3 linked regions of the Callithrix jacchus genome follow. The protein of the gene in region 2 interacts with the protein of the main gene of each other region in a biochemical or structural test. Links are inferred from orthologs where the notes say so. Each region holds a gene or a part of one and is shown on either strand. Other genes may lie near its edges.

Evidence for each region.
Region 1: the proteins of COL1A1 (region 2) and THBS1 form a complex in vitro, tested with the Homo sapiens proteins (2 studies listed by BioGRID). The link is inferred for Callithrix jacchus from reciprocal best matches to the Homo sapiens genes COL1A1 and THBS1.
Region 3: the proteins of COL1A1 (region 2) and SPARC form a complex in vitro, tested with the Homo sapiens proteins (2 studies listed by BioGRID). The link is inferred for Callithrix jacchus from reciprocal best matches to the Homo sapiens genes COL1A1 and SPARC.

What each region holds. Positions count from the first base shown.
Region 1 is NC_133509.1:47,076,268-47,080,594, forward strand, and holds the start of THBS1 (thrombospondin-1), read right to left. Parts: upstream 2,833-4,327; 5' UTR 2,684-2,832; intron 2,089-2,683; 5' UTR 2,043-2,088; coding exon 1,976-2,042; intron 1,697-1,975; coding exon 1,137-1,696; intron 273-1,136; coding exon 197-272; intron 1-196. UniProt on the Homo sapiens protein: Adhesive glycoprotein that mediates cell-to-cell and cell-to-matrix interactions.
Region 2 is NC_133506.1:116,132,413-116,136,589, reverse strand, and holds the start of COL1A1 (collagen alpha-1(I) chain), read right to left. Parts: upstream 2,828-4,177; 5' UTR 2,710-2,827; coding exon 2,607-2,709; intron 1,132-2,606; coding exon 937-1,131; intron 780-936; coding exon 745-779; intron 643-744; coding exon 607-642; intron 516-606; coding exon 414-515; intron 1-413. UniProt on the Homo sapiens protein: Type I collagen is a member of group I collagen (fibrillar forming collagen).
Region 3 is NC_133503.1:50,621,121-50,624,690, forward strand, and holds part of SPARC (SPARC), read right to left. Parts: coding exon 3,512-3,570; intron 2,465-3,511; coding exon 2,377-2,464; intron 938-2,376; coding exon 816-937; intron 1-815.

The sequences.
Region 1 (4,327 bases), on a different chromosome or scaffold from region 2:
AAGGATGAAGGTAGAGGGGTTGTATGTGGGCATGTGTGTGTACGTGTGTGCACAGTACCCCTTGAGGTCTCTTTTGTATGCTTAATGATCTTACTGGGGGTAACTGACATATAACCACTATTGCTAAATTCCTCCCCTTGTTTTTAGTGGAATTCCCCCATCTCCCTATGAGCCCTAAGGATAAAGGAGTACTCACAGCTGGAGCAGCCTTTGTTCCGGAGGATGTCTTCTGGTGTGGTTCCAAAGACAAACCTCACGTTCTGCAGCACCCCCTGTGGACAGAGGACACACATTACATGTAGAATGCTGAGAGGATGTGGGATGGGTTTGGGGGAGACTGTCTTTGTGCTAGGAAAAGCACACAACAGATATTCTAAAAGCTTCAGAGAGCTTTTTTAAGATCACTGTGTCAAAACAACACACCAACATAAATTGCCAAAAAACTTCAACATCTTAATTGCGACTTCTGCCAAGTCTTGAGTATTTTATAAAGAATTCAGTTATCAGTCTACTTGGGTACACAGGAAATGGAATCTGATCTTAAGCCCAGAGGATATAATGACACGTCCCAGTGTCAAAGAGTTAAATATGGGAGATCAAAGCCACAGTTGCAAAGATCTAGAAGTTAAGGCACAGAAGAAGCTGTAACAGCAACAGCTCACTGCTATTTTAACCTTTTGTGTGAGACTGGCTGCATCCCCATGAGAACTCCGATAGCAAAGTGGTACTGATTCTGCCCATAGAAAGTATCAATTTCAAACGATTAAAATTGGGGGAATGCATATGAAATAAGCGATTTTCTTAAGAGCTTAAGGAGTATCTAACGTTTGAACAGGCTGACTGCTGAAGGAAAACCATTTCTTGTTTCCTTGAGTCGTTTTAAAAGTGTGCTTCCCAGACCACCAGCATCAGCATCACCTGGTACTTGTAATTGAGTTGCAGTTTTACAGAATCCCAAACTCTGGGACTGGAGTGCAGCAGTGTGAGCTTTCACAAGCCCTCCAGGTGATGCTCATGCTGCCTAAAATCTGAGAACTGCTGCTTTAGTTTACATTCAGGATTTCCTGTAGCCCTCCTGGCAGGTCACCTGTCTAGCAGATGATCCCATGTAGCAGGGCTCAGAGAAGAAGCCTCACCTGGAAATTGTCATTGACGCCCCCCTTTGCGATGCGGAGTCTGGCGATGCTGGCCAGGTCTCTGGTGAAGACGCTTTGGATGGGGACGTCTAGCTCAGCGTTCTCCATCTTCTCACAGTCGATGTACAGCTGGGCCCTGTCTTCCTGCACAAACAGGGTGATGCTCTTCCACTGGCCGGTTGCCAGGAGAGCTTCTTCCACAGACACCACATGCTGCTTTCCTTGAACCGTCAGGCTGAGGTCCAGAGTGCCCGCCTTGCCATTGGAGACCACGCTGAAGACCTGGCCAGAGTGGTCTTTCCGCTCCAGGGCCAGCAGCGTGCCCCGGGTCTTCTTCATCTGCCTCAGGGAGGCCAGAAGGAGGAAACCCTTCTCTGCCCGCACAGCGTCCACCAGGTCTTGGAGCTTGTCATCAGGCACAGGGGGGATCAGGTTGGCATCCTCAATGCGGAAAGCTGGGCTGGAAGGGTCAGGGCCCTTCACCAGTCGGCGCCCAGATCCCTTGCGGGCAGCCCCGGTGAGTTCGAAGATGTCAAACACGCTGTTGTCTCCCCCAGACTCTGTTAGACAGGAGAGAACATATAGTGAGATTTCTAGGCTGGGACCAGCAGTAGGGGGCTGAGTCCTTAGGGGTGGGGAGCAAGGGCTGGGGTGGAAACTCCTGGCAACCACTGAAAGAGCTGAATAAAGACCAGGATCAGAGGGAAGCTGCCTCCTGATGTCCAGTCTGGCTCAAGAGAAAAGGAGCTGGGAGAGAACAGCATGTCAGGGGGCACACCTGGGGTAGCCAGCACCTCATCCTCATCCCTCCTTCCCGTAAAGGTGCCACACAAACTCACCTGGAATGCGGTTGGTACCACACACTTGCAACAGGAACAGGAGGCCTAGTCCCCAGGCCAGCCCCATGGTGGAGCTGTTGGTGCCCAGCAGGGATCCTGTAGCAGGAACGATCCTGCAGCACAAGAGCCCAGGGTCAGAGATCAGCTAGGCAGGGAGGGTGGGCAGAAAAAGAAACTGGGCTGGGCATGGGGCCGGGGCCATCCCTCTTTGCTGAATGAAGGACAACAGGATTACTTGAGAGAGAGAGAGAGAGAGAGGAGAGAGAGAGAGAGAGAGAGAGAGAGAGAGAGAGAGAGAGTGTGAGAGTGAGTAGTGGAGGAAAGAGATGCTGGTTTTAAAGTGTGGGGGCGCAAGACCAACAATTTGGGGGCTTCTGGGAAGTCGAAGGTGAACCAGATCAGGAGCCGTAGTGGTTGCAGAGAGGGCACGGGAAAGTACAGACTGTTAACTGGACTGCCAATACAAAGGTTTAAGGAAGACCAGTAAGGAAATCTTGGTGTGTCCTGATGAGGTGGTCTGTGAACCCCAAGGCTGGAGAGGATGGCTCTGGAGCTTTGTCCTGAAAAGTCCCCCAGCGGGCGGGAGGGGCGGGCTGGGGCAGGTGAGCGGGGAAGAATGTGGGATCCGGGGTCCACCAAAGGGACCGAAGCCTCAGCGTTCCAGGTAGGTGGCCCGGGCAGCCTTGGTCCTCGGCGGAGGCGTCTTACCTGTGTGGACCGGAGCGCGGCGGCCAGGAGCGGGGACGAGGGCGGCGAGGGCTGCAGAGGCGGGGTGTCGCCGGTGCGTCCGGAGTGGAGGTAGCGCCGGGAGAGCTGCAGAAGCCCTGAACTCGCAGGCCGGCTCGGGCGCAGTGGCTGGCAAGGCGGAGGAGCCGCGCGCTTTTAAAGGAGTTCTGGCATTCCTGGGGATTCCTCTGGCCAATGGGCGGCGGCCGGGCAGGAAGCGGGAGGGGGCCAGTCTGGGCTCCTCTCCGCCCCCCGCTGCTGGCGCGCAGCTTTCCAGCTAGAAAGTGAAGGGGGCGGGGGTCGGGGCTTGGTAGCACTGGCACTTCTCAGAAAAGTCGGTGCCCGCCCACGCAGCCTTGGCGCTCACGGGCTCGGCGCTCGCGCTCTTGCGCCACGCGGGCCCGGGGCGGTCAGCGAGCATCCCGAGCAGGGACTGGGCTGCGGCGACCACCCAGGGCCCGCGGGGTGGGGCGGGGGCTTTCGGGCGAGCTTGTCTCCCGGACTGCCTGGGCGAGGGCTGAGAGGGGTACATGGGACAGGGGGCCCGTTTTGTGACCAGAAAAATGGGCCGACGGGGCGCAGGGGACCCCGAAAGAGCCATTCATTCAAGCAGCGGCCCCTTGGGCCCTCGCTGACCCTCCTCCACCGTCCCGGTGGGGTGAGGACCACGCGTGCCCCGATCCCCCGTCCCGGGCTGGCCGCACGCCCGCCCTGGCGGGAGGTGAGCTCGGCGTCGGCCGGGCGGGCAGGGCGGTGCGCGGCGCTCGCCTTCGGAAGCTTTCCTGCCGCGGCCACCCGGGGCCCACGGAGGCGCCTCTCCCGCTGCCGCTGCGCTCCCTCGGCCGGCCGCTTGGGGGCGGTATGCGTGTTCTCATCAAGGGGCCCGGGGAGGACAGCGGCTCTTTACTCGAATTTTAAGGAAACTTACTCGTATCCAGTTTCCTCAAGCCAAATTGAAATTGTGTCTTGGAAAACAGTTTTTGTGCCCACTCGTGCTTCTTAACGTGACTCCTGTTTGGAGAATTTGCAGAACCATCTGGCTCCAGAGTCTTCAACTATTTACAGAACAGACCCATAGAGTAATAAATTACCCTCTGCTTATTATTGTATTTCCCTTTTTCCTCCCTAAACGTTCTTTTCATTTTTCGGCTCCTGAAATCGAGGTGTGAGTTACGTTTCTGTGGGTGCACACATTGCCATGAGTGCCGCTGCCTAGTGCTTCTGTCATTGAAGTCTGGTCTCCAAGCCACTGTCCCAAGCCAGCATGACTCCAGCTGCCTGGAATTCCATTCATCTCTTCGGGATGGGACGTCAGCAGCCTCGCTCCCTCTGCTTTGGTCCAGGCTATCTGGCTGGCTCCGAGGCCAGGGCATAGGTAGAAGCTTGACCAAATAAGGATCGCAGCACAGGCAGGGGGAAACCCCTGGGGCTCATTTCCCATCTTAGTGCTTAAATCTGGCAGGACTCCTGACTGCTGGAAACAGCCACGGGTTTACGTTCATCAAACAGCAATTTCGCTTTTCTTGGGTGGGAGTGTTGTATGACAAGGTCGTGTGTGTGTGTGTGTGTGTGTGTGTGTGTGTGTATTATGGGGCGAGTGTTTTCTAGTTACTCAATATGTATATC
Region 2 (4,177 bases):
GGAAACTAGAGACACGGTGGGGTGTGGGGGGCGGAACCTGTAAAGGACATTATTGGGACATTGGTGAACTTTGAACGTGAACTGCACATTAGAGAATGAATTTAATCATTGTGCTATGCTCAGTAAAGAGAATGCTCTTGTTTTTAGGAAAAGCATACCCAAGTCTTTAGGAGCAAAGGAGCCTGATAGTAGCAACTTACTCAAACAGTTCAGGAAAAAAAAAAAAAACACGATTACATAAACAGAGACTAATAAAGTACATGTCACAAACTGTGAAGGGTATGTGAGAGTTTTCTGGAGGATTCCTGCAACTTTTCTGTAAGTTTGAAATTATTTCAAAGTATAAAATTATGTCATCTGCCAAAACCCAAAAACTAAACGGGAGAGTGGACACACAAGGCCTCTCCACTTACTCCTCCGAGGCCAGGCGGTCCGGGAGGTCCGGGGGGTCCGGGGGGTCCGGGAAGTCCAGGCTGTCCGGGGATGCCATCTCGGCCAGGGGGGCCTGCGGGTCCCTGCAGGGGGAGAGGGCGGGTCCGGGGTGAGCGCGGGTCCGGGAGCCACGCCCACCTGCAGCTCCCGGCAGCCCAGAGAGCTCACGCTTACCCTTGGGCCTCGGGGGCCAGTGTCTCCCTTGGGGCCCTGTGGAATTAGGGGAGAAGAAACAAGAGGCCAGGTTAGAGAAGGGAGGACCGTGAGGAGTCACGGGCGTCGGAGGAGCAAAAGTCTAGGGCGGGAGATTACCTCGACGCCGGTGGTTTCTCGGTCGGTGGTGGCCTCTAGCGGGAGAAGAGACGCGTGTTAGAGCCAGGGTTTGCTAAGGCCGTTCCCGGCGGCCGGGTCACCAGCAGGCAAGGCCAGCGAGCGCCGACCTCCCCCAGCCCCAGCCCCAGCCCCAGCCCCAGCCCCAGCCCCAGGCCCCGGGCGCGGCCGCACCTGAGCCGTCGGGGCAGACGGGACAGCACTCGCCCTCGGGGATTTCGGCACCGGGGCAGTTCTTGGTCTCATCACAGATCACGTCATCACACAACACCTTGCCGTTGTCGCAGACGCAGATCCGGCAGGGCTCGGGTTTCCACACGTCTCGGTCATGGTACCTGAGGCCGTTCTGTACGCAGGTGATTGGTGGGACTGGGACAGGCGGGGGAAGAGGGGCGTTGTCATGAGGCTGGGACCCCCATATCGGGCTCGAAGACCCCCACTTTAACCACCTTTCCCCCGGATCTAAGAGGCACACTTGGGCTTTTCACTTCCTGCCCCTCCCCCCGGTTCCTCTTTCCTCAAATCCTTAAAAGCTCGCCTGCTCCTCATCAGCGCCGGTGACAGCGCCGAGGCGCCTGGCCAGGGAGGCTGTAACTCTTTCCAGTTCTCAGGAATTTAAACAAAGCTTTAGGCCGCGGTGGCTTCCAACTCCAACCTCAGCCCACTGGCGCTGAAGCCAAGTGAAATAAAAACCACAGGGTGAGGGGGAAGGGGATGGGGAGAAGGAGGGGCCCGTCGCTAGGGCAGGCTCGTGGGGAGTGGCCTGCGTGGTGGGCACGGGAGGGGGGCGCAGGAGGAGAGGAGGGAGGTCCAGCCCTCATCCCGCCCCCATTCCCTGGGCAGGTGAGTGGCGGGGGCGGGGCTCGGAGAATGGGAGCGGCTGATTGAAGTCCCCCCCAAGACTTGACTTGTACCTCAAAATTAGGAGACACCCTAACCTCCAGCACCTAGACATCTTAAAAGCCCACTCTCGCGGCCATCCTCAGTTCCCCAAAGCCAGCGAGTGCCTCCGGGTCACTTTTTAGCCAAAGAACCAAAAAGTCCGCGAATAGTCCAGAAGTTAGCTAACCACTCCCACCGCGCTAGCGGCTCCCCAGACGGCCACTAGGTGTCGGGCAACGCTAAGCTATGGGGCTGGGGCGGGGCCAACCTCGCCGGCCGGGCCACCTCTTTAAGAGGCTGGGGCTGCCCCATCCTCGGCTTTACTTTCTAGATCTAGAGGTGGGGTCCGCACCCAGCAAAAACCCAAGTCTTCCCGCTGCGGCTTCTGCCCCAAGAAGCGCTGGACAGGGAGGTGCAGTGAGCAGCATCGGTCAGCAGGGGGAGCAATGACCCCACCCCGCCAAGTCCACGCCAAAGTTTCACATCCTCCATCCGCCCACGCCCCGCGCCCCCTCCTCCGCGGCCCAGCACCCCCGCGGCCCCAGCAACAGTCTGGCCCACAGAGAGGGCAATCTTTCCTTATGAATCATCCCACAGCCTTCCCAATCGCTTCTACACCTTGGGCTTCAAATCCCCTGCTCGGCGCCCCCATCCCATCTTCGACGTGCTTCCCCCACTCTGCACTCAGATCCCCACTTTCCCAGTTGCGCGCTCGGGATTCTCTCCTGCACCAACTCATGCCACGCTCCACCCTCACCTCCCACTCCTGGGGCGCGCTCACCCCCAACCTTCCCAGGGTGAGCTCCCTCTTCTCTCAGGGCGCCCAGCAAGAGCCCTTATCATCTCCCTTCCATTCCCGTCTTCGGAACATCCACGTCTCCGTTTAAGCCGCGGCGCCCGGGACCAAGCGCAAGGCACGATATAGAGGAGTATCCCTGCACTCCCAAAAGTTTGGGACTTACTGTCTTCGTCTTGGCCCTCGACTTGGCCTTCCTCTTGGCCGTGCGTCAGGAGGGCGGCGGCCGCTAAGAGGAGCAGGAGCCGGAGGTCCACAAAGCTGAACATGTCTAGACCCTAGACATGTAGACTCTTTGCGGCTGGGGAGGGGGTTAGCGTCCGCTCATGCGTGGCCTCACACTCCGCGTGCCTCCTGCTCCGACCCCGAGGAGAAACTCCCGTCTGCTCAGACGACTGGCCCGGGCCCCTTTTTATACTATCCAGATCCAGAGCAGGGAGGAACCCTGCCCTTCGGATAGGGGGAGCCGGCCACCCGTTCCCCAGCCAATCAGAGCTGCCTGGCCCGGCCCCCAATTTGGGTGTTGGAATGGAGAGGGGGAGGAGGAGGGAAGGGAGTCCACCCCACATCTCCCCCCTTCGCAGCTCTGCCTCCCCAGCCCCCCAGCCTAGCCTGGGCCAGAGGTGCTGTCGCAGGGATGCGCTGAGTCCTCAGAACCGTGTGGGCTGCGTGGGTAGGGGTGCCCCTCTGCTCTCTTCCTGGGACCTTCAATCTAGAGGAAGTGGAACTGGGGAGCGGGTGGGGAGGCTTCCAAAGTTGGAAGGGTTGGGGGTGTTGGGGAGGGGTTCTTCTTGGCTGTGCCCCACTTGCCCTCTGACTTTTCTGGCAAGAGCTAAGGGAGGGGCATAAAGAGGCCAGCTGAGGACCTCTCCAAAACAGGGGAATTAAAAAGATGTACCTGTTCGGGGGTGTCTTCTGGTGTGGCTAGGGTATGGATCTTAGGAATATTTGGGGAACAATTTAGAGATTCCTTTCTAGACATGAAGAATCAGATATCTGAGAGAGCGGTACAGGTGAGGGAGTTTTAATTTTGAGGATGTCGATTCTGCTGTGCTCCAAGACAGAATCAAATGCCTTCCTCCAAACCCTAGGCATGATTGAGATGGGGTGGGGAGGCCGAGGTGCAGGATGAGAAACATGACTAGGTGGTCTCTCCAGAAGGAAGCTTTGCCACTGGGCAATGGCGCAGCCAGGAAGGGGTGGGGGATTGCTAGGGACAGAGAGGTGGGGATTGGGGCTTGCAATCCCCTAAAAATTCATTCCTCAAACTCTTCCACCCCAGAGTTGGGAAGTATTTTTATTGGGATGCCTGTGATCATTGGCGACTTAGAGAAGAGTTCTGTCTGCCATGGCTGCGGCCAGTGGCTGCTTGGAGACCTCCTGCCCAGCACAGTCAAACCAGAGAGAACCTGGGTGGAGGGAGGGCACTTAGCTAAAGAGGTGTCTTTCTGGGAGCTCCATAAAGCCCCTTCTCCAGCTGTACCAGCAGTCGGTTTTGGGGATGTGTGAGATGTTTTGGGGGTCTGGGTGATTGCCTTTGGGGGTGTGGATAGGTTACAGAGGATGATTGATCTTATTTTAGAGGCCACTTGCCACTGCCTCATCTCTTTACTGAAAATCCAGGTCATTGCTCTCTGCCTTAGGAACCAGAGAGAATCATCTGTACACTCTGAAAGGTGCCTGGGACCCAAAGGACAGCAGGCTATATGATATCTAGGGAAGATGCCTCTAGAGAAC
Region 3 (3,570 bases), on a different chromosome or scaffold from region 2:
TGGTGACTAGGCATTGGGAGTGGGGTGGGGTGAGGAGGAAGAAAATGTTAACAATGATGCTACAATGTGGAGATCAGAGGCTATGTTGTCTCTGGAGAGACTGAAGATGGAGAAGCCAGATGGGAGGCTGTAGGAACAATACTGGCCCCAGATTTGTCGCCATGAACTAGACAGCCACTAGCATGATGGTGGGCATGAGCAGGCACTCAAAAAATATTTACTTGGATAGATGGATGGATGAATGGGTGGATGGGTGGATGAACGGATGGATGGACGAATGGATGGGTCCTTGGAGACAGAATGGACATATTTGAGAGATAATTTAAAAATAAGTAGTATTTATTAGGTACTTGTTACGTACCAAGCATTTTCTGACACATCCCCACAACAGTCCTATGAGTTAAGAACTATTTTTATTCTCTCTTTGGAGGTGAAAAAACTGAGACTTGAAAAGTTTCGGCAATTTAGCTGAGATCTCACAGCTAACAAGTGATGGAGATGAGGTTTGAAGTCAACCTTCTGTTTGACCCCAGAACTCACATTTTTGGACCTGATTCTTTGCTGATGCTCTTATGCTTTTAGCCATAAGAGTCTGGCATAGGGCTTGTAACCTGATGATGCTGTTTCAAGTCTTGTTGCTTGCTGCCAGGTACACTCTGACTCATTCCCTCTTTCCTGCTGGGATTAGGTCTAGGAAGGGGACTTCTGAGATTGGCGCTGGCCCATAGAACCACCAAGCCAACAGTTTCCTGAGCAGGCACTCTATATTCTGAAGTGCCCAATCCCTATCCCCATCCCCATCCCTCAGCCCTCACCTTCTCAAACTCGCCAATGGGGGCTGGGCAGCTGGTGGGGTCCTGGCACACACACATGGGTGTGTTGTTCTCATCCAGCTCGCACACCTTGCCGTGTTTGCAGTGGTGGTTCTGGCAGGGGTCTGTAGGGCAGAAAGACAAGGAGTTAGCCTCACCTGGATTAGCACATCCACCCCCATCCTACCTGGACAGATCTCAGGGCTGAAAGTCCCTGGCTGTGGCTCCTACTCTGGGCTTTGGGCAGTCCAGAGTCCTGCCTGCTCTTGCACTGAGCCTAGCAGTCAGCATTTAGGGAGCAGCTGGTTCAGTCTGGGGATTAGAGGTTTATTTCGAGATAGCGGTCAGGCACTTTTTAGGGGCTGGAGGCTCAGTCTGGGACCCAGAAACACTAGATGCCATATGACTTCCCCAAAGATTGAAGCAACCATTGTGTTCCTGGGTCATCACTGAGCAGTCACAGTGAGGCATTTCTGGATTCCAGAATAAGCTTTCTAGAATGCCTTAGAAAGTCAGATGTTGACAATGAGCCAGGGAGCTGTGAGGCCCAACAAAACAGACTTAAGTGGCTGTAAAGGAAAAGGCAGAAAAGCCCCAAGGCCCACGCTGGACAATAGAGCATGGTAAACACCGGATGAGGTGGGAGAGGAGGCAGGAAGGAACATAACTCAGTAGCTGTCCCTCTGTTCCAGTAGAAACCCTGTGCCCAGCTAGATCAAACACCATTAGCTCTCCCCTCAGGATGAGAGCCTAATGTGGCCTTTTCCTTGACATGCTTATTTTGAGTATTTTAATAATCCTTTATTGGATGCCTACTCAGCTTGTCTGAAAAGCTCCTGACAGCCCTGGGATGCAGGTCTGCCATCTCCATCCACCCCATGTAAGAGATGAGAAACTGAGGCTCCGAGGAGTTAAGCAAGCTGGCGTGGAGAAGCCTAGGTTCAAAGCTTGGTTGGACTGCTTCCAAAATCCATGCTCTTAACCCCTTGGGTGCAAATGCCTTGCACTTAGAGCTGGAGCCAGAGCCCCTAGGTCATTGCTCCCCCAGGGCTCTAATGCATGGATAGCGTGGTATGAATTATGTCAGGTTTCATTTCCTGCAGACCTCGTTTCCTTGGGCTGTGTGAAATAGAATGAGCTTATGAGTGTGCAAGTTCCTGATCTCTTCTCTCAGATCTACTACTCTGTGGGGCACGAACTGAGACAGAAGCGATGGGGGATTTCAGCAACCAGATGTGACCAGGGACCCCCATGGGAATGGGAAACTCAGCTTTGGACTAGGGCAAGAGCTATGAGGGGAGAAGGCTATTTCCAGCTGGAGAACTCTCCTTCCCGCCATGCACATGGATGGCCTGTAATCCGATCTTGCCCGGATCCCAGGGGACTGAGTACCACAGTTTCTCAGTCGTTAAGTCAAAGCGGTGTTTCCTCCATAGCCCACTGAGGACCCCACCCTGCATTTCCACTGGAAATGGTAGGTCCTCACATAGGCTGTCCTCATGCCCCAGACCCCCAGGCAACCAAGGGCAGCTTGGATGTGCCAAGTCACAGGGAAGGGACATACTTTCAGCCACCACCTCCTCTTCGGTTTCCTCCGCACCTTCGTCAAATTCTCCTACTTCCACCTGGACAGGGTTGGCTCCCACAGATACCTGGAATTGGTAGAGAAGAATGGGTATAATGGTCCCCACTCCCATCCCAGACCCATAAGGGTACCCGAAGGGCTTCAGGTCACAGAAAGCTCAAATGCAGGGTTGGGAATCCAGATTTAATCTATAGACCCACTGTGTTTTATAGTATGCCCGGGATTCTGTTGAGCTGCCTTAGAAACCACCAGGGATGTTAAGGAAAGAGAGTGTGAAAGGAAAATATATCTTGGGACCCCAAAATCACTAAGCTAAGAGGAAAAGTCAAACTGCGAACTGCATAGGACAAATCTGCCTCCCATTCTATGCAGTCATCCTTCTGAGGCTCACATGAGATAAACCATTGTCTGATTGCTTCCTCTGCCCTGTTACTTATGTAAAAATGCAGACTCACTGAGCCCGATTCAATTGTGTATTCAGTGGAAGGCTGAACAAGGACTCAAAAGAATGCAACCAATTGTCTCTTATCTACTCCTAACCTGGAAGCTCCCACTTCTTGAGTTGTCTTGCCTTAGCCAACCCAACCAATGTAAAACTTAGACATACTGATAGATGTCTCATGCCTCCCCAAAATGTATAAAAGTAAACTACTCCCGACCACCTTGGGCACAGTCTCAGAACTTCCTGTGTCATGGGTGCATCCTTAACCTTGGCAAAATAAACTTTCTAAATTGACTGAGACCTAGTTCAGACATTTGAGGTTCACAAGGGGGTGTCAACCTCCACCCCGACCAGCCACACCCGAGCATCTCCCTTTTCCTCTGTTTTATGTTTGGGGAAACTATGGATAATCATGGAAGAAAAATTATTTTACAGCTTAAAATACAAAAATTTCAAGGTCCTGTCCCCCAAACGTAGGGTTCCATTGAAGGGTTGGGAAGCATTCAGCAGTGTGTCAGGATGTGGGGGATACTCAGGGTTTGCATCTATGCTATGTGTATGTGGAGATGAATGCCCTACCCTAGCACTGAGACCTGCTGCACCTGCCCTAATTTCTCAAGGCACAGATCCGGGTAGAGAGGGGCTAAGGGGCTGTAGTCACTGCTCACCTACCTTCGTCACCTCTGCCATAGTTTCTTCTACCACCTCTGTCTCATCAGGCAGGGCTTCTT